3 linked regions of the Alligator mississippiensis genome follow. The protein of the gene in region 3 interacts with the protein of the main gene of each other region in a pairwise test. Links are inferred from orthologs where the notes say so. Each region holds a gene or a part of one and is shown on either strand. Other genes may lie near its edges. The genes, in order: VAMP4, TOR1AIP1 and LMNA.

Evidence for each region.
Region 1: the proteins of LMNA (region 3) and VAMP4 interact in a two-hybrid assay, tested with the Homo sapiens proteins (2 studies listed by BioGRID and IntAct, with this or other methods). The link is inferred for Alligator mississippiensis from reciprocal best matches to the Homo sapiens genes LMNA and VAMP4.
Region 2: the proteins of LMNA (region 3) and TOR1AIP1 interact in a two-hybrid assay, tested with the Homo sapiens proteins (2 studies listed by BioGRID). The link is inferred for Alligator mississippiensis from reciprocal best matches to the Homo sapiens genes LMNA and TOR1AIP1.

What each region holds. Positions count from the first base shown.
Region 1 is NC_081828.1:44,983,571-44,993,659, forward strand, and holds the start of VAMP4 (vesicle-associated membrane protein 4), read left to right. Parts: upstream 1-5,122; 5' UTR 5,123-5,210; intron 5,211-6,178; 5' UTR 6,179-6,242; coding exon 6,243-6,308; intron 6,309-10,089. UniProt on the Homo sapiens protein: Involved in the pathway that functions to remove an inhibitor (probably synaptotagmin-4) of calcium-triggered exocytosis during the maturation of secretory granules.
Region 2 is NC_081828.1:51,636,111-51,646,067, forward strand, and holds the start of TOR1AIP1 (torsin-1A-interacting protein 1), read left to right. Parts: upstream 1-5,642; coding exon 5,643-6,417; intron 6,418-8,319; coding exon 8,320-8,379; intron 8,380-9,493; coding exon 9,494-9,541; intron 9,542-9,957. UniProt on the Homo sapiens protein: Required for nuclear membrane integrity. Induces TOR1A and TOR1B ATPase activity and is required for their location on the nuclear membrane. Binds to A- and B-type lamins. Possible role in membrane attachment and assembly of the nuclear lamina.
Region 3 is NC_081838.1:17,274,722-17,285,186, reverse strand, and holds the start of LMNA (lamin), read right to left. Parts: upstream 5,063-10,465; 5' UTR 4,970-5,062; intron 4,242-4,969; exon of another isoform or gene 3,797-4,241; 5' UTR 3,727-3,796; intron 1-3,726. Other genes in the region: RNA-binding protein MEX3A, read left to right, coding at 5,906-6,428.

The sequences.
Region 1 (10,089 bases), on a different chromosome or scaffold from region 3:
TTGAAAGAGCCACCCGGATACCACGTGAAGAACTGCTGCAGTACAGAAGAAACCCCCCCACAAATCGCACACCGCTGGTTATGACCTATCACCCCTCCCTTGAACCTGTACGGAAAATCCTCAAAAAATTGCAACCCATATTAGAAAGAGACCCTATTCTTAAAAAGATCTTCCCAGAGCCACCCATCCTAGCCTTCAGACAAGCACCGAACCTTGCCAACCTCATCACCAGAAGCAAACTTCCTCAAGCCCAGAACACACCAGAAGGATCCAGACCGTGCCATGACAAGAAATGCAAAACCTGCCAACACATCTCCACCACCCCCACTGTTACTACACCCCACAACAGAGCCATCAGCATCCCAGGATCTTACAGCTGCACCTCCAGAAATGTAATATAGCTCATCCAATGCACCAAATGCCCTGATGGAAAATATGTAGGAGAGACCAAACAACAAGTGCGCACCAGAATGAACGCACACTGGAAATCCATCAAAGACAGAAATACCCAATTACCGGTGGGGGCACATATCTCACAGGAGGGCCACTCTCTCTCCAATCTCTCAGTCCTGATCCTCAAGGGAAATCTACACAACACTTCCCAGAGATGAGCCTATGAGCTCCATTTCATCAACCTCCTGGATACTAGAGATCATGGACTAAACATAGACATTGGATTTTTGATACATTATAATCTGCCTGGCAACTGACTCCCCAGCCCCTGGCTTCCTTACTTTTCATTCCATCCAGGAAGAGCACACACCAACTGCTGCAGCTTCCTGAGCCTGACGAAGGGTTTTTGAACCCGAAAGCTTGCTTAATAACTGTTCTCCAACTATTTGGGTTGGTCTAATAAAAGATAACAAATTCACTCAAGGAACCTTGTCTGCCTGTGTCCTTAGACCAACACGGCTACAACCTAAACCCCTGCTTCCATGTACAGACACTCATCCTGAAACCAAAGTGTCTTCTTCCTGTTTTACCTCATCCCACTTTCAGTATAGGAGTAATTGAAATTTTCTGGTCAATATTTTATAAAAAGTCATATTAGATGACATTATGCTTTCAGATCATTGAGTCTGTGAATATGAATGAGGACTTCAGTGATGATGACATCTTGGAGTAACTAGCATAAGGGGTCATTTGATCACACTCAATGCAAGAATCAGGTTTTTTTTTTCCTTCAAGCTGTGGAGTGTAAATTCACAGAGATCTGTTCGCTCCTGCATCACTTGGTGATATCTGACCCAGTAAGATCACGAGCAATTTGCAGAGTGAACTTCTGTCTGGAGTGTGCAGCCATACTTCTTGTTAATATCAGAGCAAGTTGTATCTGGACCCTGGGCAGAATCTGGCTCATAGTGCTGTTATTTACTCAGTTCCAAACTGAGGCTTTAAGAGCCCACATCTTATAATTGCATACAAGGAAATCTTGCTAAATACATTATCTATCATTAAACTGCTATCAAAAGCAGCATGTGCTCCGCAATGGAAACCAGTTACGAAGTTCGTTAAATGCAGCCATCATTGAACATGACTATAAAACAGATGGCCCACACTGGGTAAAAATAAATATATATATTCAATATCTATTGACCTATCTATCTTTATATTTATATTTTGGCAGGTATTGAATTTGCTCAGCCTTTTGGCTCTCTGTTGTCTGCCCCGGCACATCTTACAAATCAAGAGAAGCAGGGCTAGAAGTGATCTCCAAAGGTCATCTAGTCCAAGCCCCTGCCTGAGGCAGGAGCATCCCTATCCAAACCGTCTTATACAAATCCATAATCTAAACTCTTCATAAAACTGTCATCAACCCAGACACAAGACAAGACATAACACCCTAACCTGCCACAGGTAAAGCAGGGGAACGAGGGCAGCCAACATCCTGTTTGTGTAAAAAGGTTGTTAATATACCTCAAGAGATCCCAGGTAGAGGCACAACACCTACTATGGAGGAAGGCAACAGCTGGCAGTGCGATGCTGTAGCTAGTAGGGCAAATAATACTCTGGCATGCATCAATCGATGCATCTCCAGCAATGCCAAGGAGGTGATTCTTTTGCTCGACTCAGCACTGGTGAGACCGCAGCTGGAGTACCGTGTCCAGTTCTGGGCACCACACTTTAACAAGGACGTGGACAAGCTGGAGAGAGTCCAAAGAAGAGCCACCCGCATGATCAGAGTCTTACACAGCAAGCCATATGAGGAAAGGCAGAGGGATCTGGGACTCTTCAGCCTGAAGAAAAGAAGGCTGAGACGGGACCTGGTAGCAGCTTACTGCTACACTAGGGGAGTACATCAAGGGCTTGGTGAGCAACTGTTCACCAGGGCACCCAAGGGGAAAACCAGGAGTAATGGCCACAAACTCCTGGAAGATCAATTCAGGCTCAACATTAGAAAAACCTTTTCCCAGTCAGGGTGTTCAGACTGTGGAATAAGCTCCCTCCAGAGGTGGTGCAATCGCCTACCCTGGAAATCTTCAAGAGAAGACTGGACGGTCACCTTGCTGGAGTCACCTGACCCCCAGTTATCTTTCCTGCTTGGTGCAGGGGGCTGGACCCGATGATTTTCCAAGGTCCCTTCTGGCCTTCCAATTAATGAATCTATAAAGAGACCTGAGTGTACACACACACACACACACACACACACACACACAGACACACACACACACACACACACAAATATTATAAAAGTTTGCCTGTCTGTTTGTCCATAACGCTTTATTCGCGCTTTGATTGGCTGACAAACATCCAATCAGAGTGAGAACAAGCATTCCAACAGGAGCTGGCAGCCAGTGGAGTGCTGCCATGATGGTGGGGACAGAGGGGAAGGAGGGCAGGGGGCAAGGCCAGTGCATCCTGACCAGCATGGCCTCACCCTGCCTGCCCTGCTCCCTGGAGGCGGGGTCAACAGAGGGGATGGAATGCAGGGGAGGAGGAGGGACGAGGCCACTGGAGCTGGTCTCCCCCTCCCCTTTACTCGTTGCAGGTGATGGCAGTGGCGATGCGGCGGGTATCAGGGTTGGGATGCCACAGGGGGGCCAGGCCATGGCTCTGGCCTCGATCCATCCCTCCCCGCCTTCCACCATTGCTGCCTGCAGGGCCTGATGTGGGATGCCGTGGCGGTGGTGGGAGAAGTGAGCCCGACGTGGGTTGGGGGAATAGCGAGCACGCCATGGCAGAGATGTGGGGAGGGGAGGAGTGGGCCCTGGGCCCCATGCAGCGGGGGAACAGGACTGAGCTCAAGCCAGGGGAGACGCTGGCCCACCACAGCAGAGGGAGCAGCGGGCCCGTGGCCAACCCAGTGGTGGCAGGGGAATGAGAGGAGGGGGCTCGGAGCTGACGGGGGGAGGAGTAGGCCTGGGCCTGAGAGGTGAAAGCAGCTCACTCCTTCCCTCCCCCAGCTGCTGCCGCGTCAGAGTGGGACGCTGCTCCCCTCACTGCTGCGGTGGGCCAGCGTCTCCCCTGGCTCAGGCTCGGGCCTCCTCCCCGCCACTGGCCCCTTGGTGCTGAGCGCTTCTCCTGTTCCCCTGCCCTCGCTGGGTCAGCCCAGGCCTGTTACTCCCCCTGCTGCAGCAGGCCAGCTTCTCCCCACCCTTGTGTCTGGCCCTCCCCTGCATCAGGTCTAGGCACACTCCTCCCCTCCCCCCACCGCTGCGGCAGGGAGCGGGTCCAGACCCCAAGCAGCAGAAGGTAAAGGGGGAGTGGGCCCAGACAGGGTTGGGGGGGCACGGGGCTCTGTCCCCGCATGCTCCCCTCCTCCCCCGTCATTCCTGATGGGCAATTGACTAGTATATTTATATACATTCTAATATTATACAAGCCTTTGTCTGTCTGTCTGTCCAGGAATGGGCCCGGACCCGAAGGGGAGGTAGGGTGGGAACGGGCCCGGACACAGGTGGGAACAGGCTGTTCCCTGCTTCCCTGCCTCGGGTGTCTCAGTGGGCATGACCTGGAGCGGGGAGCTCGTAGCCCCTCTGTGCAGCCCTGCTGTTCCCAGCCCGTGTCGCTCCTGCTGGGCTGGAGAGGCACCTGGGGCAGGGCGGCAGGGAATGGTGGCTGCTCATCTTGCGCTTCCCTGGGGATGCACAGCCTGTGCCTGCCGCTCTTTGAGGGAGGGGTGTGGCCAGGGCAGTGGGGTGCAGGGCCCTGGGACCAGGCAAGGAGAGGAGCCAAGCTGGGCCCACTGCGCCTGTGTGTCCGCCCCTTCCCCTTGGAAGTGTGTGAGGCAGTGGGGTGCCGGCCTCCCCCTCCCACTTCCCCGAGCCACTGGAGGCTCCGTCCTGCTCCCTGCTGGGGCCCTGCACTGCAGCCCCGGGCCCCAAGCACCCCCTGGCTCACCTGCAGCCCCAGCCCTGCCCAGCTCCCTCCCTACACGGGCCTCAACCTTCCTCTTCCCCCCCAAGCTGGAGCTGCCCTCGAGGCTGCTTGGGGCCACGTGGGTGCACTGTACATGCGCGTGGCGCCACCTGTCTCACTGCCTGCCTTCCGCTTCCTCCCAGCTCCCTGCAGGCTGGAACACAACATCCGAGTTTTGTCGCATAAAGCAAATTTCTGGTATAAATAAGTGAATTCACATATAGAGAAATTTGTGAGAAAAGAATTCGCATAAAGACACGAGCATGTGTGTGTGTGTGTGTGTGTCTTAGTGGTGCTTCATTTAAATCATGGAAAAGTGTGGATTTGGGATTAATTTTTTAACTGAAATTTCAGGATTCTTTTAAATCTGAGAAAACCAGGATCCCTGGTGATGAGAGAGTAATGACAGCAAACCCAGAAGTCCGTGAAGACTCCCTGAGTGACTTGGGTTTTGCAGCTGCTGCAACAATGAGCCGCCTCAACAATTACCGTACATTTGGAGCACTTTACTTATTATTGGTCGCACTTGTACAAAAGCAGAAACGACCACACAGACGCCGTAATTATCATTCACCCGCCAACGCTACCGGGCAGCGACCTACCCCCACCCCGCCTGCTGACGTCGCTGCGATGAGCCGGCACGAGTGCCCTGCCCCAGGCCTACAGTAGCCGGGAGACGGAAGCGTGGAAGGGCCAGCCGCGCCCCTCCGCCTGTGGGGGAGGGGAAAGGGGGAGATCGATGACTCGGCGGTCGGCCCCGCCCCTCAGAGGGAGTGTCGAGTGCTCGATGGAGCAGCTGACTCGGCTGCGGCCGCAACACCAGCCATTTCCCAGCCGGGCCTCGCAGCGAGGTGAGCGGGACGCGGGTTGGGGTCGGGCGTGTTGCGTAGCTCAGCGCAGTGGGGGCCGGGGCGGCCTTGGCTTGGCCGGGCCCCGGGCGGAGCTGCGCGGCCTCCGGCTCCGGTGCGCTCGGCTCGGGGTCACGTGAGTCGCCGGGGGGAGCAGGTGGGGCACCACGTGACCCCGAGGACCTCCCCTGCGGCTCCCCTCCCTCCCAGCACTTGGTCCTGGCCATCCCCAGGCCTGGGGGCCGGGGCCGACCTTCGTCTCTGTCCTTTTGAGCGGGGCGCGGGGTCGGGGGTTGGTTCCCCAGGGGCCAGAGTCGGCAGTACCGGGCGAGGCAGGGCTGCAGCTGTCCCCCAGCAGGGTGGGAAAGACCTTCAGCCCCATCAGTGTGGGCCAGGCCATGGACATCAACCAGCCCTTCCTCCCGCAACCCCCTCTTCACACCTTAGCGACACTTCCTGCTCCTCCTCCCTCTTTTCCTCCAATTTTAGTTTCCCTTTGCTATACCCTTCGCTTCTATTCCCCCAACCCCAGTATTGTCACACAGCAACTCAGCCGTGGGGCTGCACCAGAGATGCCCAAAGACACTGTTAGTACCTCGATGCATTTGCAGTCTGGAGCCCCTCTTTGCACTGCCTTCGGGTGGTGGTGGTTAGCTGTGGAGCGCTGAGTGATCCTGCCAAGCATGTGACTCCTCACAGAATGGCCAGAGTTTAGAGCAGTGCTTGAGCGTTCCCAGGATTAGGGTTTAAGAAACACGATCAAATTGCCTTTCCCTTTAAGAGGGGCTTGTGGGGCTGTGATGGTGCGACATAACAATGGATGAGGTACCGCCTTTTGTTTCGTGGGGATTCTGGTGGTGCTCTCTGGTTGCCTTCCCGCTGTTTTCCCGGGTGCTGGAGAAGGGGTGATAATGATTGCCAATTGCATGTAAAATTAGATATCAAAGACGCACATTTTTCCTCTCTCCTAGGCAGCATATTTCTCCCCACACCTTCTGTACTGGACCATCAAGGGCATCTTTTTGAGTGGAAAACATGCCTCCAAAATTCAAGCGCCACCTCAATGATGATGACGTCACTGGTTCAGTGAAAAGTGAAAGGGTAAGTGCCTGGTGGCCTGTGGTAGCCTTGGCTACATTTGTTAGTGCTTTATTCCTTGCCCTCCTTGTATATTTAACAGCTCTGTGTTTACTGGAGGTGTAGGAATAGGCTTCACCATGTGGCTTTGTTACTGATGACTTGAATAACTTTGAATCAGTGGGGGTCATGTTTAAAGTGCACTACACATGAATGAAGTCCATTATTTCACCAGTATTTATTTCTTTATATGCTGTCTGTCTCAAAAAAAAAAAAAAAGACTCAGGGCAGCTTACAGTAAAGCCCAAAATAATTTTGTACAAGCAGACCAAATACTGAATAGTAGGTATGGATGTAACAAAGGTCTAAACCCAAAAAATTGAGAGAGGAGGGTGTGGCATGTGATAAGTAGTCCCAACAGTCGGCTTAAGAGAGATGTTCAGCTTGTTAACTGAAAGGCAGTTCTTCTAAAAGCCTGTGATGTCTCATAAAATTCTGGCTGGCTCTACTCTTTTGTAATTCCCAGAATGCATCATTTGATGACTTCACAGCTGCTGACAAACGGCTGTTACAAAGGTTTGGTCTGAGATGCATGTGTGTATTGATTCCCTTTTTGCAAATAATGTGTTCTAAACGGGCACTGAAAGAGGATTTTAAAACAAGAAACTGAAAATCTCTTGGAAGCATGGTGAGACTTTCTAATTTGGACGGGCATTTAATAAGTAAAGCTAGGCTGGGATATTGGTTAGGTTTCTGTTGATTCTCTGCTTTCCTTCTAAGGTGATTTGTTCTCTTGTTTGTTCTTCTATTTTATAACTTATTCTGTCCTCTTATTGTAAGCCACTCTGAGCCTTTGTTGGGACGGGCACCTGTAAATTGAATACAGTAAATCAGAGTTGTCCAGCTTCCAAGCAGCAGCAGCATAGGCACAGCTTCCAGTTCCTTGGCCCTGGCATAGCTCCTCACTGCTGAGCCCCAGCATTGGCACAAGCACAGACAAAGCCCAGTAGTTGTGCAAACCAGCTTTGGCCCACAGGCTGGATGTTGTCCTGAGTTAGAGCAAAAGGAAAGACACTAACAGCACTAGATCTTTCTCTGAGAATAATTTCCTATAAATGTTCTGCGTGTTGTTGCTCATTCCAAGTTCTAGCCCGGTGTATTTTCATATATGAAGGACTCGTAGTACTTGTTGCACCATGAGGGAGGTAAAATATTGGTCACAGGTGAAGAATGCACCTTGTGCAATTTGTTGAAACAAACATGTTTGTTTTCCTGTACATCTTGGTCCTCAGAGCTAGAACAGAAATCTGAGGGAAACAGATGAACAGCCTTGAAACAAATAAAGTGTACTATTGCCAAAAGAGCACTTGGCCAGTTTTTGTCTTCAGCCTCAAGATTATTTCATGTTTCCATGGAGTCCTGTTGTAGCTGTAGTGTGATACTGCAGCTATAGTCATAGCTGCATGGTTGTAGAATATAAAAATGAATGACATGACATTATTTTTAGATGTGGTGTATACTCCCTTTTAGCTTGGCAGGTATGGCTGGTCTATACAGTTTGATAAAGTGACTTGATTAATTATTTATTTATTTTGTCAGAAGGTCACCAATAAATACTACACGTTTTGGTGGAAAAAAGAGATGTTCTGGCCTTTATTTGTATGAAACAACTGTATGAATAGATTGGTTATATATGTAACAACCCTGCCTGAGCTTAGGTGGTTAAGATACACCAATTCTAGTAGACATTGGTTATAGTGTTGTGATTGGCATGATGTCTATACTTTTCCCTCCTTTGGCTGAATGACCAGGTACCCCTTTGACTTTGTCTCTCTGGAAGCCATAGTGGAATGCTTTAACCACCTTCTACCCTGTGCCTTTTAACTACATAGACCAGTGGTGTATAATTCTGGATGGGCCAGTGGTTGAGCACCCCCAGGTAGACTGTCACGTGTAGCACTTTTTTCTGAGGAAGCTGGAAAATAGCTTAATTATTGAGTATTGTATCTGATACTTGAATGTGCAGGGCACTGCTACATAGTTGTTCTGTGTAACACTAGACAGGTTCAGGGTAGTATACAGCATGATATTCTATTCTGTTTCTCTTGCATATTGCCCCATGTAACCTGTTTGTAATTTGCATGCACGTTTTTTTTTTTTATATTGGATATTTGCACTATAAATGAATGTCGCACTTACCGTGAGGTGGCAAAACAGAACTATTGGTAGATAGTACAGGCAAATTACTGTAATGTCTCACCTATAATGGCCTAATAGCACAAACTTAAGCTGAGAGGGATCTGATATATTTCTGTTAATTAAAATGTGTATGATTTTTACATGCTTTGTTCAATTGATCTGATCTTTAAAAACTGACATTAACAAATAAGTCTGTTTTAGGTACATCTGATTTGTGTATGAGATTTCTCTCAGCTTAAGAGTTTGTGCTATTAGGCCATTATAGGTGAGACACTAGGTCACTACTTACCATTCTGTGATAATGCAGCATACTGTGGTCTTCTATTTGAAACCCCTTGTAGGTGAAACTTGTACTGCCGAAAAGCTGTCTAAACCAGGGATGCTCAGCCTCTGGCATGCAGGCCAAATGTGGCCTGCAGAGCCTTGGAATCTGGCCTGCAGGCTCCCCATGGATTAGGAAATTTGGCAGCGGGGAAGCTGCCAAGTTAATACTGTTACCCATCTTCGCTGCCAAAATCCCAGGCAGTGGGTCAGAGCTGGGCCACAACCCTGTCCCTGCATGGGCAGATTAGGATCAGGCTATACCCCTTTCCCTCCATGTGTCTGGGTTGGGGCCCCCTTTTCCTCCTGCAGGGCTGGACCATGTCCCTGTAGGCTGGACCACACCATCTTCCCCCTCCTACCCTTGTGGGGCCAGACCATGTTCCTTTCCCTCCGTCCAGCTAGGCTGGGGCCTGGCCTTGCCTTCTTCATGCAGGGTTGGGCTACACCCCTTCCCCTGCACAGCTAGATTGAGCCAGGCTGGTCCTCCCACCTCCCTCTATGCAGCCATACGGGACCCGTAACACCTACCTGGGTGCTGGATTGGATCTACCAGGCAGAGCTGGCCCTTGGGGATTGGGTACTGCCCATCTGGCCTACTGGCCAAAGAGGTTCAACACCGCTGGTCTAAATACTTCATAAAAAGAGAGGGAGAGAGAGAGAGAGAGTGTGTGATGTCAATGGGGATTTGCTATCTGTAGGTAAAGTCTCTGTGTTGAACTTGTAAATGTGTGTGCTGAATTAGTTTAAATTACTATTTCAGGCTAAGTGGATTTAAACATAATCTATCAAGTCAAATTATGTTTAAACCAAATTTGGTAGCCAAACTGTCGTCTAAAACAATGCTTAGCTCAGCTCGTAAGCAGTGGCTTAGCTGCCAGTGAGATGATAGGCTCTCTGGTTGCAAGGAACAATGCTGTTGTACCTGCAAGGAGACCATGAAAGCCCACCTCTAGACTAGAGTGCAACTTCTTATATTCTGTTTAAATTGATTCAGCAATAATGAATTAAGTGGTAGTGAAGGTGGATTTCCAGGTGAGGTTATGATAGTTGCAGATGGCAATCCAAAACAGTTTCCAAGGAAAAGGCCATCTGTAATAGGACTGTGTGAAGCTTTGATAACCAATTAGATTTGGAGGAGATTTGGCCTGATTTGGCAGCTGAATCTCTGAATCAGAATCGAATCAGGAGACCAATTAAAACATCTGAATTGAATCAGAAGCCTCCAAATTGATTTGGAAAAGATTCAGCGCTGATTTTGAGATTTGGCCATAGACTAAACAAG
Region 2 (9,957 bases), on a different chromosome or scaffold from region 3:
CTATGATGTGCTGTAGTACAAAGTCTTTATGTCTAGTTTCAGCAGTTTTTGCTCTCTGTACTTGGTGTAAAGAGACCCACAGTAGTTGGTATGGTGCCTCTATGTCCATGCCGTCTAACAGAACATAGTACCGTATTTGGAATTACACAAATAATGGTCCCTTACAGGGCAAGTGCCCAGACTTACAGCTCTCTCTCTCCCTGTGGCTCCCAGGAATTTCAGGTCTCTTCTAGATCCCAGTGCCCGATTCCTGCGTTGTGCTTTTCAGAAGAAACAGGAAGTCAGAAATAAAAAGCAACTCTACTGTGTACAAAGTTCAAAACTTACTTGTCTAAATGCAGCAATCTGGGGGGATTTCTCAGCAGAGGGTTGTTACACACACCCCTGCACTTCACTGCACTGCCAGCTTCCCGGAGACACTTTAGTTTTGACGTTAGAAATGTAAAATAGTCCTCTCAAATGCACACACCCGTCACTTCTGAATCCTTCCACTGTCAACGTGACAATGAACTTTGTACTGGCTCAGGTTGCCCGAGTGGAATGCTGGGATGTGTAGTCCCTTTCACCCTCTCTGAATGCAGCTGCATTTCTCTTCATGAATAGATCAGCCAGTGGCATTGTTTCCCATGGTAAACATGTATTTTTAGGAAACAATAGCACAGCAGATTGGAACTATTTATAGCACTCTAGAATTTTATAAAGCATCCTTCAATCAACGTGTGTACTAAACAAGTCCATAAGTTAAAAAACAGAACTACAGCAGAGGGAAAGCTTAAGAGATGTAAAAGAAGGGAGGAAAAAAAAGATGATTTATGACCATAAAAAGACTACAAATGCAAAATCTGTCACACCTCAGAGTATGGACTATGCATGCCATGGAGTCTGTCCCTCTGGGCTGTGAACCTGCTGAATCACTGCAACATTATGGTAGCACCCCTTGCCTTCTGACCTGCCTCAGTGAGCTGTGAGCAGTGTTGCTGTTAAAGTCTTAAGAGACTGCCAAAAGGCAGATTGCTAGGCCACCATCCACTGAAGACCTGGTCATGTTCCTGAGCACTTGGTTGGAAGGAGGTTTCAGGTGAGATGGTGGGGACCTTACCTCACTGTGGCCCACCCCTGTAATGGCATATCATGCCTTGGGAACTGTATCTGCTGCTGCTGGTCATGGCTCAAAAATCAGTGGGAGCTGGAGGTTTTGGCACTCCAAGCCCCAACCTCCAACCAGATCACGGTCGGTGCCTTCATGGTGAGGATCAGCCTAAAGGGGTTCCTGGAACAGGCCATGGGGTGAAGTACATCAACAATTTGAAGGGGAAACTAAACCATAGCAAAGTCTTCAAGGTTACCTTCAAATGGGATACCAGCAACCACTTTCTGCCTCAGGGAAACTTGGTTCACTTTACAGACAGGTGCTTCACCTATTCAGCTTACTTCAACTATTTCCATAACAGCACCTTCCATGGCAACTGGGACGAGGTGCTGGAGCTGCCACTTTGAGAACAAGCCTCTGCTCCATGTCCCATGTGGCTGCAAATCGCACGCAAGAATATGGCAACTTTGCAACAATACCATACAGGACTGGCTGGTCCCAGTCATCTTGGTATCAGTAGGGACAAAAACCACATGGTCCCAGCCTGCAGCAGCCCACCGAGACTGGACATTGTCTTGTCATCACTAACGAAGATAGTAAGAAAATCCTGATTGTCGATGTGACCAGCCCCTTTAAAAACCAGTGGCAGGCTTTTGCTAAAACCTGGGAGTGAAAGCTGATGAAGTACAGCCTGAGACACTGGGAAGAAAGGGATACAATGTGATGGTGCAGGAGTTGAGCATCAATGTGTTTGGTGCATGGGATCCAAGCAATGATAGCATCCTGAGTGCCTGCAGAATACCTAGCACTACTTCAAGATGATGAGGCACTTTGTGGTCACCACCATCAGATGGTCAACGGCTGGCTATCATTGGTAGAAAGAGAACCAACAGAGGACATCAGCCAGAAGCAAAAGTGGGGAGCAAGACTACAAGAGACACCACCACTATACTGTATAGACTCTAATGAAAACCAAACACATTTCTGTTTGTACTTCACCCTGGGCAAATGTAGACTGCATGTTAAATGCAATGCATCAGACTGTTCTGTCATCCTCCAGCAGTGTGTACCATTGTGCAGGGTCCCATATTTCTCATAGGTATACTGTACCACATAAAAGTTTCAGTTAACATTCTCTCTGCCATTGGGGGACTGGAAAGGGAAAAGAAGCGTTTCTCTCATTGAACTGGTGCAGATTGAAAGAGGTGGGAAATCACTGATCTCTCTGCACAGTGGGATCCTGATCTTAGCTAGAGTGTTTTGTTGCTACCATAATACAAATAATCATCTGCTGTTATTTGTTATGTTGGAAGCATGTTAGAAAGATATTTTTCTCAACTCAGTGTCCATTTAGAAAATACAGGTTCTAGCCCTTTTCCTGTTGGCCTTTTTGATCACTTCATTAAATCAGCTTTGCTTATTAAAAAAAAAAGTTTAGGAACTGGTTTGAAAATTAGCTTCTATAAATGAAAATAGCAATATTCAACATACTACCTGTCCCTATAATAGTGATGTTGACAGAATTAGCCATAAGAACAAGCTACTCACAAGACACAGGAACTAAAAGGCTGGCCTAAAATTCCCAACCTCCTCTTAGCAAAAGGATCAGAGATGTGATCTGATACTGTCTAGAAAACTGGAAGTATACTGCACAGGGTGAGCCATATTTAAGGAAATGTTTAAGTTCTTATAAGTTTCTTCTTCAAAGTTACTGAAACATGTCATCTAGTTCCTACTGTGTGAACATTCCCTTAATCCATGTTCACTAACAGAATATAAATGCTGCAGGATGCATGATGATGATAAAGCCAGAAGGAATCATTATGATGAGTGAGACTAACCCCTGCGCATAATGCAAGCCAAGGGATTTTATACTAGCAAGTCCTTCACTGCAGGGACTTATTCCTCTCTGCGCTCACTCCTGGCCTGGCTGGAAGGTGCACACTAGGGCTGTGTGAAATTTTGCTGCCCGTTTTGTTTCAACGCTGTTTCAAGCCATTTCGACCTCGAAACAGCAAAGTCAAAACAGAACAGGCAGGGCTGAAACAGGGTCGAAACAAAACAGGGCAGGTCAAAACGTTTGGAAAAATTCAAAACGTTTCGAGTTTGGACCAGGAAGCTGGGCTATGGGCTTACCTTCAATGGCTTGGCTTGCTTCCCTGCGGGGAAAGAGAAAGTAAAGTAAGGGGATGGAGGGGGAGAGGTGAGTGGGAAGGAGTGCTGTCATTATTGACATGTGTAACTGGCCAGTGCCTGTCACCCTTCTCTGAGGTCCTTTCCAACCCCATTGCTCTGGGGGAGGGACAGAAAAACTGCATAAAAGGCAGCATTTTTTGGACCTGCTCCTGCTTTCTGCCTTGGGTGACTTATTGAGCTGTCTATTCTAGCAGCTCACTGTCAGACCACTAGGGCTAGCAGCACTGATTTTCTAAAGGGTTCCCTGCTTGTTACTGTAGCGAGAGGGATTTCAGAATACCTTTTTCTTGTAGGTGCTTTTATTATTGTATTCATTGATTTATTCTTTTGAATTTTATACTTATATTGGATAGGGTTACTATAGAACCTATTCTATATAGGAATTTACTATATATATTTGTTTTTATACGGACATTCTTTGCACCATACCAACGCTATTGAATTTATATCCACAGACATATATATTTCTACCATGTTCATAAATCTCTTGCCTGCACCAGTAGTACAGATTTGAGTTTATATAGGAACACAAATACATTTATATATTTCTTGAAAAGGAAGTCCTGAAACACCTCATGAAGAGTGGTAGAAAGGCAAGTGGCAACACTGGCCAGCCTTCAGGGAGGGGTGGAAGAGGGAGAGCTGTAAGTCCCCCCTACCCCTCACCAAACTGAGACGCAGCCTCTTTCCTCCAGCTGAAAGGGATGAGGCCGCTAAAAGCAGCAAGGAGAGGGGAGTGGTGCCACTGCCACTGCCCCGCCCAAGACTGCATCCCCTCCACGCTCAGCAGCCATAACCGCACCCCACCATGACCACAACCAGCAGCACCAGCACCATCGCAGCAGTCTACTCCACCCCTATGTCACTTCCCATGCTGAGCCTTCCAGTGCCAGAAGAAGAGCTGGCGCTGGATCTGGATCTCAGTGCCCTAGCAAGGGAAATTCTGGGGAAGGAGGGGGAATCAGCTGAGTTTGTGCTTGGAATTCTGGCACACTGCAACCTGCTGGACATCTGACACCCTAGGTACCTCTGCACTTTTACATCCCCCTTTCCACCTCACCCTTTCCCTCACCCTCACGCCTCCATTTCCATTTTCACTGACTGCCTTTCTTGCCTGCATTGCGTGCCAGGCCAGCCTCTGGCTTCTTTACTATTCCTTCCATCCAGGACCAAGAGACACACCAACCGCAGGTACTTCCTCAGCCTGACAAAGGGTTTTTCAACCTGAAAGCTTCCTAAGAGATATTTCTCTATTCCTTTTTTTTTCATAAAGAACATACAAACATAAAAACACAGGATAAGCCATCACACACACCACGAGTAACATATATCCAACACAACATCTTTACTTCTTGCTGTCAATTCCTTTACAAGAAAGGCTCTGTGACAGTTGTTTGGCTACTTTAGATGCTGCTGGTGCTATTGCTGTTGAGCCAGCTACGTTTTCACCTGCCATCATTTACTGTGGTAGACTGGACTGAGGCTGTAGGGGAGGAGGACTCACTGGGGCACACTGCTGTGTCGTGCAGAGGCCCCAGTGCCAGGAAGGGCGCACCTGAACACACAGAGTCACCCACCCATGTCATGAGTTTTGCCTGTCACCAGCCAGAGGTGTAGGGCCCCAGAACCCAGAGTGCCGCTGCACCTCTCATTGAGACCTGGTAGGCTTCATTACTTCAGCAGGGGCTAGCAAGCCTGCAGTTTTGACCCCGCTGTGGCTTCACACATACAAGTGATAGGACTTTTGCTCTCAAGACTTTGGGGTGCAGTTTCTTTGAACCCCCCTACATCTATCTCCTTGAAGCTTGGCAGGCTTCATGCCCTCGTAAGGGGCTATCATTCCTGCAAGTTTCATCTAAATCAGGCCAGAAATGACAAAGTTATAGCCTGTTTTGACCTTCCCCATTATATCCTACGGGGGAAATGTCAAAACAGGTTCGAAATGTAGAAATGTTTCCACAGAACGATACGGAACAGCCGTTTCGACTCGAAACAAAACGCTGTTCCGTCGAACCGTTGGTCGAAACAGAATGCTTCCGTTTCGCGCAGACCTAACGCACGCTGCTCCTTTATCTTCGATCTGCTACCAAAGGTCACAAGAGCAATATTGTGCTACTTGTCTTCAGCAGAGCAGGGTGAGGGAAGAGTTAGGGCCAGATCCAAGTACTGTCTGTAAAACATCTCTGAATGGTAGGAGGAGGCTGTAAAGGAAATCCTTTTCCGACCTTCTTGAGCCCATGAAAAACTGTTACCGTCAGAGAGCGCTTGCTTCTTTTTGTGACTTTGTCCAATTTAGGCTTAAAACTTAGGCACGTTGCTGTTTTTTTCAGGAACTTGAGCTGGCTGGAATAAGATCATGCTTAGCCTCTCGGAAACCACGGGGCAACATGGCGGGGGCACAGGCGGCACAAGCTCGTCCTGCCGCCTCAGAGGCGAAAGCCCGTCCGGCCCCCGCCGCCCAACTGGTCCGGTAGGACCTGCCTCATGCCAAGGGTCCGCTCTGGGCTGCTCCACGTCGCGCCCGGGAGGCTGTTTTCACTGCGCCCGCTGGAGGGCGGCCTCGCCCGGGCCGGGCTCTCCCAGCTCTGCTCCTCGCTGCTCCGAGCCGGGGGCGGCGCCGCAGCCGCTGCCCGTCACAAGCGGCGCCGGTAAGCAGCGGCTGCAGACGCGGCGTCGGCCCGGACTGCGCGCACCCCGGCGGCCGCAGGGAGGGGAGAGGGAGACGAACCCGGACCGGATCAGGCCCGAAGCCATGTCACTCGCCCACGCTACGCCGCGGGCCCCGCTGAGGCCGTGCTGCGCCGCCGAGCCGAGGGCCCCACAAGATGGCGGCCCCGAGCCAGGCGCGGCCGAGCCGGGGGATGCTAGCACTTCCGGCCCCAAGCACAGCGGAGCGGAAGTGCGCGTTCTGGCCCCGCCCTCGGCGGGACGAACAGGGCGGGACTACGGCTCCTTGGAAACGGAAACGGAGGCGGCGGCGATGGCGGCTGGTGTGGGCTACGAGTTGCGCTCGCGGCAGCGGCCCCCGGCGGGGGAGACGCCGGCGGGACGTTGGGCGGGAGACGGGGCCTCGGGCAGGGCGAGGCCGTCGAACACCGCGCCCCGGCGCGGGATGCCTGACGCGCCGGCAGGTGAGCTGGAGGGCCCTGGGGCGGGGGCTGGTCCGGCCCCTCGCTGCGGCTACGCTCAGCCCCGTGCCCAGGGCAGGTGGCTGTGGCTGCCCTTCCCGCTTGCGCAGGGAGGCCCCTTCCCTTCCCTTCCGGTGCGGCGGCACCAGCCCCTCCGCTAGCAGGGAAATGCCCGAGGCGCCGCCCGCCCCGAGCCGCGGGAGCCATTGTGATGGCAGCACCTGCCCCGCTGCCGCCCCCACGGCTGCGGCTCTGCCCCCAGGAGGCGGCTCTTCGCGGAGGGCGGGTCGGCAGCTCGTGGCCCGCCGGCGGGGTGGTAGGGAAGGCTGCGAGAGAGGCCCCCCGCCTGGTGCCCGATGCCACAAGGAGCTTCCTGTGGGGTCGCTGCTAAAAATCTCTAGGGAGGTTTCATGGACTGGAGTCTCCTGAACTAGGGTAGCTTCCCCCCCCCCCCCCGGGGGTGTTCCCAACTGTGTTAGGTGCTAGTCCACCCAGCAAGGTGGTAGAGCGGGTACTGCATCACTAGAGGTGCAAATTGGGGCTTGGCTGAGCTGCAAATGGTTTCCCAGCCATTGTGGGTGGGTGGTCGGCAGTGGGCAGGTATGAAGGGAATCATCCACTTGCTCTCTTTTCTTGTCAGCCACCGAGCTGGTGTGCCACAACTGATCTGTCCCCCGCCCCTTCCCTCCCTACTCCCCCTTCTACCACAACAGACTTACCAGCTGCACACAGCTCTTCTCCTTGCCTACATTTATCTGCCACAGTATCAGGCACATCAGGCCGGTTTCTGATACAGTCGATTTTCTTTATATCGGTGCTGATCCGATATTGGACTGACGTATCATGCACCTCTAGCCAAGAGCGTTCTGCTACTTACTACCTTCTGCAAAGAAATTGCCTTCCTCCAAGCTTCTATGTAGCAAGACCTCTGGTTTCACAGTTCCCTGAAGTTTAGTTATTCCGTGATGGTTAGGATAGTTTCATCTGTGCTTAGTAGAGTGGAGTTACCCTGGGGTTTGTCTTTTTATTATTATTATTCTTGCCCTCTTTTACAAGACTGGGGGTTTTGCAAGGGGTTTGGGTGTGAGGAAATTAATTTCTTAATCCACTAATGATGTAAAGGGAAATTGACAATCCACAGATTATGATCACTGATGCTTTAGGGTTGAGTTGGGGGGCAAATTTGGTGTATGATTAAACATGGCGCATTCACAGAAATCACTCTCACATGGTGAACGAAAGGATAGGATTTGGAGTTTTTCTTGGATCGTATTGCTCATTCAGGATTGAATCCTACCTGTTTGCTTTTTTTTACTTTAGGCAAAGGCTTATTTTGACTTCTACATCCAAAATACAGACCTCTAGCACTTGAATTAATGGGCATCCTCTTCGTGGAATATCCATTACAGAGGGATGAGGGATGCTTTGCCAATGGCATTCAAACTTACTTCCCAGAAAGCTGGGAAACTTTGGGTCCTGGGGATCCTGGGATCATTTTCAGGGTCTAGATTCGATTGTGTCATAGTAGTTATAGATGCCTGTGCTCCTGTCCACCATACTTGTTTGCCTTTTTTTATACACAGCCTATTCTATTCCCACTCCCCTTCCTCTTGGCTTCTGCTGGTACCTTGCTCCTTTGCCCTAGATATACCATTCACTTTGTCCTCCCCGTCCCACAAATCTCAAGCATATGAACAAACTGCTTGAGGGTCTGGTGTGCCTGCAGTGGGGGAGGGAGTAGTTTAATAGTATTCTTGAAGGAATGGAATGGAATGGAATGGAATGGAATGGAATGGAATGGAATGGAATGGAATGGAATGGAATGGAGGGCTGAAGTGGTTGGGAGAAAGAAATGATGGCATGGTGCTTGAGCTTGTTATGCATTTAACACATTCTTTGTTTTAGGGAGTGAATATCCCTTTGTCAAATTGACTCGACCCAGCATAAGAAGTTTTCAAAGGGAAGGTAAGTAGTGATTTCTACACCCAGTGGAGGAGCTTTTCACTCCTTGCAGTCTAATACTATTGAAACAGATTTCTAGGGAGTATAGATCAGTGGTGAAAGCAGGGAGTAGGAACTGGGGGATGGCCTTGGTTCCCTTTCCAGTTTTACCATTGATTTGTTGTATAATGTTGGGCACTTAATCTTGCACCTCATATGTTTACCTTTCAAAAGGGGAACAGTGCTCTGGTATCTTGTAAGAATTTTTGAAGATTGATTGATTCTCCCAGCAAGGATGCTGTTGGGGGTGTCATCATGCAGTGTTAGCACTGTTAAGTGTGCAAAGAATGTTTTCAAGATAAACTCATAGATTTCAATAGGAATACATGGATTTACAAACCTTCTGACCTGTTGCAAGCTGAGTTGTTTTTTTTTGTGTGAAAACTAAGAGATGGCATTTTCAGAGGGGTGTCATGAGTCTTAAAAGGGGTGTCTTAAGTTTGATGAGGGGTGCTACTAGTATGTAGCACTCTGAAATTAACAAATAAAGGGGTCTGTAGAAGTGTATGTGTTCTATCAAGTGCATGAGATTGTAGCAGTACTTGGCTGAAGGTATGAAAGAAGGGTTGTGAGTGAATCTGCTTGTGTTTCTTGGTTTTGGAGAAAAGGTACGGTGACTAAATATGATGACAATATCTATCTAAACAAACTAGGAAAAATGAAGTAAGAAACCCACTTACCTGGCATGAACTGAATCACATGTGGAGCTTGTGAAAAGACCACTTCCACTCTATTCGTTGTATACAGTTACTTTTTGTGTGATAGGACTGCCTTCTCTGCATCTAGAAGCATAGACTTGTACTAGCTGCATGATACTGAATGTGATGTGTTTGTGTTTTTACTTCATTTGCCACATCCCTTGTTTCTTTCTAAAAAGACATATTGCAAAACTACCCTTTGGAGAGTTAGACAGGAAGCTATGTCTGTAATGTATAAGTGGTTGTGGAGTCATAGCTTTTGTCCTGAGAAATGTATTGGTCGCTGCAGTAGAGAGAACTACACATGTGAATGTAACCACTTAATTTCCTTCCTTTTTTTTACGGCTGTGTTAATCATGTTAGTGTTCCTTGCCTTACAGAATATGCTCTCTTCAGTGAAAACAGAGATTCCAAAACGTGTGAATCAGGTTGGTTTAAGTTTAACGCATTCTAGTTTGCTTACTACTGAATCTCGTTTGTTACTGCGGTAGTGTCAGGCCTTGAGAACAAAATGTTGTTGCTGGCTGGACTTTGGCTGTTGTGTGAAGAATGCCAAGAGGTTGGCTGTTCCAAGTGGATACTGTTGATGATGTTAGTGGAATTACTTTTTGTATTGTTTCTTACAAAATACAGAAAGAAATGAGCCTCTCTGCAAGCTTGGGGGGAGGGGGCGTGGCTCTTATGAGAGGATGCCTATTTCCAGAGCTTAGTTTAAGATTCTCCTGTGAGCAGAATCGAAACTCAAAAAAAACCACCCAGTTTCTCAAGCTGAGCTTAGTTTCTGCTTAACCGCAAACATTGCACAGGCTGCAAGAAGATTCTAGAAATCTGATTAAAGCTGAGA
Region 3 (10,465 bases):
TATGGGTGCATTCATGGATGCCCAAAAATCCCTGTGATGGAGCTACCATTAGTGACAATTGCAGGGCCTTGCTTTTCTTTGATCACATTCAGTGTCATTGCCCAGCGAGGGGACGAGGAGCATGTGATTATCTCAGAATCACAGACAACGAGGGTGGGAAGGGACCTCGGGAGGTCACATCTAGTTCAAAGGAGGTTCAGCCCCAACTAGACCATCCCAGCCAAGGCTTTGTCAAGCTGGGCCTTCAAAACCTCCGAGGATGGAAACTCCACCACCTCTGGGGAACCTGATCCAGTGCTTCACCCCCCTCTTAGTGAGAAAGTTTTTCCTAATATTCAACCTAAACTTCTCTTGCTGCAACTGGAGCCCGTTGCTTCTTGTTCTGCCATCTGCCACCACTGAGATCAGTCCAGCTGCATCTTCTTTGGAGCCACCCTGCAGGGAGTTGAAGGCTGCTATTCAATCCCCCCTTGGTCTTCTCTTCTCCAGATTAAATAAACCCAGGTCCCTCAGCCTCTCCATATAAGTCATGAGCCCCAGAACCATTTTCATTGCCCTCTGCTGGACTCTCTCCAATTCATCCACATCCTTTCTGTAGTGGGGGGCCCACAGCTGGACAAAGGACTCCAGATGTGGCCTCACCAGCGCAGAATAGAGGGAAGAATCACTGCCCTTGATCTGCTGGCAACACACCTACTCATGCAGCAACGCTCCTACTGCTGCAATCTTGCCCCCATCCCTGCTGCTTCCTGGAGTCTGCCGCCGTCTTAGTTTGGAATTAGCAATTTGATTGACTGTACCTCTAAATTGGGCTCTCTGAATCTGCACTTAGATCTTCAAGCTCCCATAGCACCCACGCAAGGATGCAATACATATAACACACCTGCTCAGAAAGATCCTCATGTGAAAACCAGAATTCATGGTGCACAGCTGTCCTGTCTTGAGCTACAATTTTGCTTTCTGCCCCAGATGCCTGAAGATATTCCGGTTTCAACAGAGGCCCAGCCTCACCACAAATGACTTTCTTTGCCAACTTTAAACCTGAATAACTCTAGAGATCTTGTGCCCACCCCAGACACCAGGGGTGTCAGGCAGCAGGAGGAATTGATCCAAGCAGGTGGGGTGAGTCTGAGTTATTACTTAATCCCCATAAAAAAGAACTGCAAGGGGGTGATGTCACATTATATTTTTTAGCAGGGCAGTCTCATGGGAGATCCTTATTTCAATGACTGCAAATTAGGAACACAAGCCAGACCTCCTCCTGCATGCTGGCTCTCAGGACTATACAAATAACCACCTAGGTTTTACAGCACTTGGGAAGATGAGTCATTAAGCCGTGAGTCGGTCTCAACCTTCACACTATGTGACCCGCTGACCACGCTGGTACGCGGATCCCAGGTTGGAGCTCAAGCATAGGGGCCATGTCTACAAACACTCGCCTAAAGAGTTATTACGAATGCAAATAGAGTCTGTCCACGGGGTCATTAGCTAGAGTAAGTGTTCAGCAAGTAGTTGCCGGATCAACCCCACAAACAAAACCTAACGAACGCACCCAGCAAAATGAGTCACTGGCACAGCATTGCCGACTCCTGTGATCTGGAATGCAAGGCTTGAGGTTTGCCTATAAACCCCAGCTCTAGGAGTCATGTGAATATGGGGAAATCTCCTCAGCATTCATGTGAAAAAATAAAATAAAAGGAAGTTTGAGCCCTTATGGAGAAAAGCTAGAAAACATGACCTGATCCTGAAGTTTCAGAAACCAGAAGGCCAAGAGAAAGCAGCCCAGGCTCATTACTTTGTAGGATGACATGACTTTTAAGACAATTTTGTGATTCTGAGGCCAGGGTTATGATGGCTGAGTATTGGCAGTTGACACTTTGTCAGCTCTCTCTCTTTTTTCCTCTTCCACTTTCCTTATTTCAAGGGACACGGGTCTGTTCTTGAAGTCACAAGGTGGAACGTAAAATGGGGGTTGGATGAAAGGCAGACTTCCTAAGCTGAAGTGCTCCCTGAAAACAATGCACAATTTTCTGTCCTGCACATGTGACCAAATTCTGACCTGGTGAAAAACAATTCCTGAGTCCTGTAACTTAGAAGTACGTTATTTTCCAAAGACACAAATTCAGCTACTAATTCCCAAAACTATAAATGTATATGTGTATGTATGCACACACATATAAATATACTTGTGTATTAGACACACCCACGTGTGTGTGCTCACAGGTACTTTTAACAGAAATATGCACACATATGTATATACTCTCTCCGTGTGTGTGTGGGGGGGTAAGTGCTCACACATACACATACATATGCAAATATAAGCATATATATATATATATATATATATATATATATATATATACACACACACACACACACACACACACACACACACACACACACACATACATATATATTGTGTGTATATATACATACATACATATAATGTGAGTATGTATATATACACATACTGTGTGTATATATACATATATATACACATACTGTGTGTATATATACATATATATACACATACACATACATATGTGTGTGTGCATGTATATATAGATCTGTGTACACATATACACAAACACACATATACACATATAGATATATTTACACACGTGTGTACATAGACATTTTTGTACATGTGCGTATATATAGGTCTGTGTGCATGTATATACAAACACACATACACATTTACATACATATACACGTGTATATACACACACCTCTATGTATATTTGTGCATGTATATATAGATCTGTGTGTATGTATACACACACACATACATATGTATATATACACACACACTTACATATATATGTAAAATATATTTACATATATATCATACACACATAAATATAAATAAGCACATATCTTATATGTGCAAATTACATACACAAATATATGTACTCAGATATACACATATGCACTGCATATACATGTTTATGTTGTATGTATGCACGTACATGTCTAGATATATACCTGTGTTTGTATATATGGATTTTAGTTTCTATGGCAGTTTTCATTATAGACTGCATATGTATGTATAAGTAATATATATCTATATAGACATATAGATCTACATCTATAGCTATATCTATTTATACATACCTCTCTATAGATATATCTATATAGATATATACATAGAAAGACGGCGTGTGCGTAGATGTCTATGCTTATTAAACATGCACACACCAACTCACATATACATACCTAGAGTACTCCTATGTCACTAGAGTACTCCTATGTGCATCTAGAGTACAAATGTGCATCTAGTAAATACAAAGTGCATTGTCTACGCCTATAGAGACATTGCTCTGTGTATGCCACCGCACACACATCCACTGTTGGTTATAGGAAGGAAATCACTCCAAACTGCTGGCATTTGACAACCGATCACGCAAGCACGTAAAGGTTAAACCCAAATTCAAAACACGGTTGGAAAACCATGGTCTGAACCACTGGGTTAAGTCCCCAACAGCGGCTTCAGGGGGGCTGGCGGTACTTTGTGGGGGTGTAAGGATTGCTTGCTGAACACTGAGAATCCCAGCCTACCCTGGACTCCTTTCCTTTTCTGTCTGAGCCCGGCATGTGCCCTGCGGTCTGCTGCCACCGCGGCTGCCCCAACTGGGTACTACCGAGCAGGCTCCAAACGCAGCCCCCCCAGCCAGGCTGCAGAAGTGCCCAGGCAAAGTTGCAGGGAAAGCGATGGCAACACCTTACCTTGTTGAGTCACCGTATGAGACATTTCCTTGTGCAGCTGCTGAGTTCATTCCCCAGCTGAGCTCTTCTGCTGTCAAACCCAGGAGAGAGAGAGAGAGAGAGAGAGAGAGAGAGAGAAAGACCTTGTTGGCAAAGCGCTGAGAGCAAAGAGAAAGGGGGGGAAAATACAGTGATGAGGGGCAGCAAATTCCTTCTTCTATCACCAACCTCCCTTCTGCCCCCACACCCCCCTCACGCCCAGCCAGAGATGCAGACACAGTCTCTGCCAGGGCTGCAGTGGAGTGCGCTGGATGGGGGATCTCCCATCTTCCCGCATTGTCTCTCTCCAGCAAGAGCCAGGCAATCTCATTTCATGGGAGAGACATCTGGTTCGATTCAAAGGGAAGAAAGGGGGAGGGAGGGAGGGAAGAAACCCTTGCAGGCTGGGAGCTGAAAAGCTATTTTCAATGCTTTCCCCCCATCGCCCTTCATTTCAATAAGAAAAGGGAGAGGGGCCCAGCAGTGGCCTCTCTCCCCAGCATCTCTAGATCTGGAAGGAGGAGAGAGGGAGGTGTTATTGCCATGGAGGGTGTCCCCCCTACCTCCCCTCCCCTCCCCTCCCCTCCCTTCCCTTCCCCCAGGCCGGAGAGCTGCCAAGTCCCCCTTCTGCACAGCCTCCTGCATGGGGGCAGGCCCAGGAGGCAGGGATGGATGTGGGATCTCAGGCCTGATCCTTTTGGGGCCTTGTCTGTACGTGCAGCCCAGCCCCCCTGCCCCCTCCTGCTGCTGCGGACCCCAGAGCGGGGTGTGCAAACAAGTGGGGGTTTCCATCTCCTCCCCCCTTCCCTCCTCCTCCCCTTCCTACTCTGTCCCTCCACGGAGTCACTCTGGATTTACACCCCCACAAAACAGGGCAAGCAGCAGGCCCCTTCCCCGCTCCTCCCCCCATTTATCCCTCCCAGGCACTGGATTGACCAGCGCAGCCCCCTCAGCAAGGATTAGGGGCCTATTTTGTCGGGACTGGGATGCCGGGAGCTTAAGTGATTTGCCCAAGGTCACCGGGACGGCCGGTGTCTGTAACTAGGTCTCTAGGGTCCCAATCTGGTGCCTTATCCCACCGGGCCTCCATCTGTCTGTGCACCCCACGCCTGAAGTCGCCCTTCTCCGTCCATCCACCATCCCCCTCTCTTGCTGTCTGCCCTACATCTGCAGCAGAGAGCTCCTCTCTCTATCCACCCATCCAGGCTACATCCATCCATCCAACCTCCTTCTTCATTCATGCTTTCTTCTTCCTTCCTTTCCTTCTGTCTCCTTCCTTCCTGCCTCTTCTTCCCCTCCTTCCTTTTTTTTTTTCATTCATTCTTTCTTCTCTTCTTTTTCTTCCTTCCTCTTTTCTTCCTTTCTTAGTTCTTCCTTCTTTTTTCATTCATTCTTTCTTCTCTTCTTTTTCTTCCTTCCTCTTTTCTTCCTTTCTTAGTTCTTCCTTCTTCTTTTTTCATTCATTCTTTCTCCTTCCTCCCTTTCCTTCCTTCTTGCTGTCTTCTTTCATTCATCCTTTGCCCTTCCTCTTCTTTCCCTCTTTTCTCCTTCCTTTCTTTCTGTCTTCTTTTTCTTCTTTCTGTTTTTCATTCATTCATCCTTTCCCCTTCCTTCCTTCCTCCCCCTTTCTTTCTTTCTTTCTTCTTTTTCCTTCCTCCCCTGCTCTTCCTTCCCCTCCCTCCCCGCTCCTCGAGCGCCAGCCAAGGGGGTGTGTGCGCCGGGCCGGGAAACTACATCCCCCAGCAGCCTCCGGTCCCCTCCGGAGTGTCAGCTTCATGCTGCAGCCAGGGAATTTAAAACAAAAGAGTTTCCCCCTCTCTTTCTCGCTGCCTCCCCTCCGGCTCTCCCCAGCCTCCCTGCCCCTGCCCCTGCCTCCCGCGCCCGCCGCCGGCTCTTTTGTGCGCTGCGGGGCGGGGGGGCGGCCGGGATCCACCTCGGCGCGGAGCTCAGGTTACAGGGAGAGGCAGGGAGAAAGGGGCTTGGCCAGGCGGAGGGGAGGTGGGCGGAGGGTCGCCGCTTCTCTCTCTCCCTCTGTCTCTTTCTTTCCCTCTGTCTTTTTTTTTTCCCTCTCCCTCCCTCCCGAGCTCTTTGTTCCCCCCCAGCCCTCCCCTCCTCTCCCCCCCCCCTCCCCAACCAGCCCCCCTCGCAGCCTTTGTTAGCCATGCCTAGCCTGGTAGTATCGGGGATAATGGAAAGGAACGGGGGCTTCAGTGAGCTGGGCTGCTTCGCGGCGAGCAGCAAGGAGCGCACGCTGCTGGAGGACGACCGCGCGCTGCAGCTCGCCCTGGACCAGCTCTGCCTGCTCGGGCTCGGCGAGCCGGGCGCGCCCGCCGGGGCGGCGGGGGACGACAGCAGCGCCAGCCACACGCCCGTCGAGCCGCAGCCGCCGGCGCCCGCGCCCACGCCCGCCTCCACCCCCGGCCCCCCGCCGCCCGCCCCGGCGCCGCCGCCGCCCCCGCCGCTGCCGGGCCTCGGCGCGCCCAAGGGCGGCGGAGGGGCCGGCGGAGCCCCGGCCGCCCCCCCCAGCGCCGCCGCCGCCGCCCCCAGCGCCCCCGGCCCGGCCGACGCCAAGTTGTGCGCGCTCTACAAGGAGGCCGAGCTGCGGCTCAAGAGCAGCTCCAACACCACCGAGTGCGTGCCCGTGCCCAGCTCCGAGCACGTGGCCGAGATCGTGGGCCGCCAGGGTGAGTGAGCCAGGGGGGAGGGACGCGCCGCGCCGCGCCGAGCCGCGCCGCGCCGCACGGGACGGGACGGGGCTGCACCGCACCGCACCGCACCGCACGGGACGGGACGGGACGGGACCCGGCTATTGTCTGCGTCGCCCCGAGCTCCTCGTCCTCCTCCTCCTCCTCCTCCTCCCAGCCCGCGCACCCACTCACCACCCCGCACCCGCTCATCCCCTCCTCAGCCCGCACACCCACTCCCCCCCACACCCACTCATCCCCCCAGCCTGCACACCCACTCACCCCCCCAGCCTGCACACCCACTCCCCCCCACACCCACTCATCCCCCCAGCCTGCACACCCACTCACCCCCCCAGCCCGCACACCCACTCCCCCCCACAACCACTCAAGCCCCCGTCCCAGCCCTCACACCCACTCATACTCCCTAGACCCACTCAGTGCCCCCCTTTTCCCAGCCCCACTCAACCCCCCACACCCACTCATCCCCCTTCCCAGCCTGCACACCCACTCCCCCTCAGACCCGGTCAGTGCCCCCCTTTCCAGCCCCTGCACCCACTGAACCCCCCACACCCACTCAGTGCCCCCCTTTACCAGCCCCCCACACCCACTCATCCCTCCTCCTCTCCCAGCCCCCCAGCCCCAGTCAGTTCCCCCCTTTCCACACCCACTCAGGCAGGCAGACCCCCCCTATCCCTCCCACCCCCCACAACTCAGCTGCCGCCCCCCTCCCCTTCCCTCCCTTCCCACCCTCTCATCCCATCCCTCTCTTTTGTTGTGATGGAAAGGGGGGCTGGGGGTGCCTGGAAGCAGGCAAACTTCAGGCTAGGGTAGCCTGGCCAGTCCCCTTGCACCCTCCAGGCTTCAGGGACCAGGCCCCCCTCCCACCCCTTCCAAGCCTCCCCAGGCTGGTGACTTCTTTCTTGCATTGTGTCTGGGAAAGTTGCCTCCTGTCCGCTCCAAGTGGCCCCGCTCTCTGGCTCTGGGATGAATAATGGCCACTGCAGGGGAGGGAAGTGGACCCCCTCTCTTGATGCCTTCATCCCCACCCCCCTTCTCCATCTCCCACTGCTTCCCTGCCCAGAAACAAAGTGTTTGTGCCTGTGTCGGGGAAGGGAAGGGGGGGCAGGGGCAATCCATCCCCAGCACCCCCCAGGTGGGGTAGCCTGGGGGTCACCCACCCTTGGGCAAGATGGGGAGAGGGCCCAGAGCGGGTGTGTGGCGGGGGTCCGGGGTCCATAGGAATGTGCGTGCGCTCTCCTGGCCCCTTATAGCTCGGGGGATCCAGAGCCCCTTTTATTGATTTCTGCAATGGGCCTGAAGACAGGATGGGGGTGGAGTGACCCCAACTTCCCCACCGTGGGCTTGGGGAGAGGAAAGAGAAGGTGGAACAGGAGGGAGAAGGGGGGAAAAAAATCCCCTTTGTTGGGCTGAGGGCTGGAAGTGGAAGGGGGTGTGGTTGAGCAGTGGCGGTAATGGGGGAGGTGAGTGCCTGAAGGCCTAGGAAGGATTCAAATAACAGATTAATGAAAGTTGAACTGTTTTGGGGATCATGTGACTTAGGGGGGGGATCCCTGGCAGGGTTTGGGATTGAACCATCTTTGCTCTTGCCCTGCTCTTGACTTCCATTGCTTTTCTCCTCTCCCCACGCCCCCCTGCCCACCAACATCATCGCTGACCACAATCTCGGTGACAGTGATGCTTTTGTTCTCCGGTACAGGCTGCATTCGGTGCGAGGTAGAATGGGGGTGGGATTTAAAATAGGGGGGCAATGAGAGATGTCTATATAGATATATCTATCTATACATCTCTATATAGCTGTATAGATACGCACCACACCCACACTGAAGTCACCCACCCGCCCAGCCCCCCCCTGCAGTCTTCTAAGTGTGGGGAAAAGAATGGGGTTCAGGCCCCAAAGCTAAGTCAGTGCAGGGTTAAAAAACAATAAGGCTGGCAAGAGAAGTTTTGCCTTGGTAAAAGGGGTGGGGGGGGACTAACTTGGAAGCATGGCTAGGGCAGTCTGCGGCTCTCTGGATGCCTCCTCGGGTAGCGCATTGAAATGGCCGAGGTAGGGAGTTTTGCAGCGTTCATCTGGGGGTGGGGGAAAGAAAGGAGTGGGTCGGGGGGGTTCTGGCTTCAGGTGGATGCTCCCGGAGGAGAAGAAGGGAAGGAGCAAGTCTGCAGTGGGGTAGAAATGGCTAATTGTCGTGCATCGTTAAGCTGGAACGGGTTATCGGAACAATAGGGCTGGAGATGGCTTGGCTTCAGCGCAGGCCTCTCGCCAGCTGCCTCGGGTGGGGAACCCCTCGCTGCGAACCCCGGGCCCCAGCTGGGGTCCGGCCCAGCAGGCCCCACATCTGGGCTGGGGGAAAGAGATGCCCTGCACCACTCACAGGGCTTTGCACCTGTGTGAAGCAAGCATGCGAGCAGAGGCGCGTGTTGCACCAACTTTGCAGGGCCGGCCGGTGCCGGATCAGGCCCCCTTTGTTTAATGGAGTTAAGAAACGGGGCTGAGCCCAAGGGAACCTTTTTCCAGAGCTAGGGAGAGGCCTGTGCGGTTCCCTTCTCCCTGGGGAAAGCCCTGACCCCAGCTCCAAAGGCAAGGGGTGTGCTCTGGACACGCAGGGTGGCTGGTGGGAATGGAGAGGGCCGGGGACCCCCGGGGTTGTTTCTCCACCCCACCAGATGTATCCATGGACCAGATCCCCCCCAGCTGAGATGCATCAGTGCTGCTCAGCCAAGACAACGGGCTGGGCTGGATTCTCCTCCTCGGGTGGACACGCGCTTTATTCCACCGCTGTCCCTGTCATTTACCCCAGCTGTGGATCTGGCCAGTGTTTACTACAACGAGGCCTTGAGTGGTGTCTTTTGGGGGCTGCTTTTGTTTGCACGGTTGGGGAACAAGGGCTGGGCTGTTAAAATCACTGCACCCCCCTGTGCTGCAAGAACCACGGGGGGTGCTGGGTGCTGAGCACCGTTAAGAGCCTCCGGCCCAGGCGGGAGGGTGTTGTGTTGTTTGGAAAGCTCTCCCCAGACCCTGCATGGCTGGAAGAGGATGTAGCCGAGACGCCTGGTTGAAAGGCAGCAGAGGAGGAAACCAGTGCAAGCTCGGGATGCACTGGGGGGGCCCAGGAGCTGCAAGGGGGTGTGTCAGGATCCAGGGGATCCCTGCATTACAGACAGATCCATGGATACATTGGTGCCCCCCCGCACCAGCTCTTTCTTCTAGTTAATCTGGCCGTTTTTCCCCCCAAATGAGCCGCCGCGTTTCTAGATGCGTTACAACCCGGCTGACTTATCCCCTCCTGCAAGCTGAGCTCATGCACACGGACACGTGGAAGGGGCCTCAGCCTCGTCCGTGCTGCAGCCCCTTTATGTCGATTTTGAGACCTCCCCCCCACCATGCCTTTACGCCTCTGGGGTGATGGGCGCCCCCGTCTCTCGGTCCCGGGATGGCGGCGATCACGCCAGACGAAGGGGTTTGATCGCGGGGGAGAGGGGGCGTGTCCGCGCCAGAGAGGCTGCAGGAAGTAGCCATGCCCGCGGGCTGCGCGGGCGGGTTGCATGGAGTTTGAGGGGTGCGTCAGGCAGGCATCTTCTCCCGGGAGCCTGCAGACAACCAGGGGACCCCCCTGCCTGTCTCCTAGGGGCAGCCACTCTCTTGCTCAGTGCACAAAGAGCATGCGTAACGCAGCTGTGCTGGGCCTGGGGGCACGGAGGGGATCCCCACCTTGTTCTGGGGCCCCCTGGGCTGTTCTCAGGTGCTCCAAGTTACCTCACGTCCCACCTTTTCCGTCTCCCTTTGTCCAGGCATCTCCCCTACCGACGGCTTCCCAGAGCTGCACGTGCTCGCAAAGTTAAAACGCAAAACATCCTAGCAGGGGCCGGCACAGGGGAGGGGGATGGGGTGGCAAGAATTCAAGGGGGCACAATGCCAGCCAGGGAGCCCAGGCAGCTGGCAAGGGACTTCGTGGGGCAATCAGGATTCAAGGGGAAGGCTCCTCAGCCGGATGGAGACACATGAGATCAGCACGAGC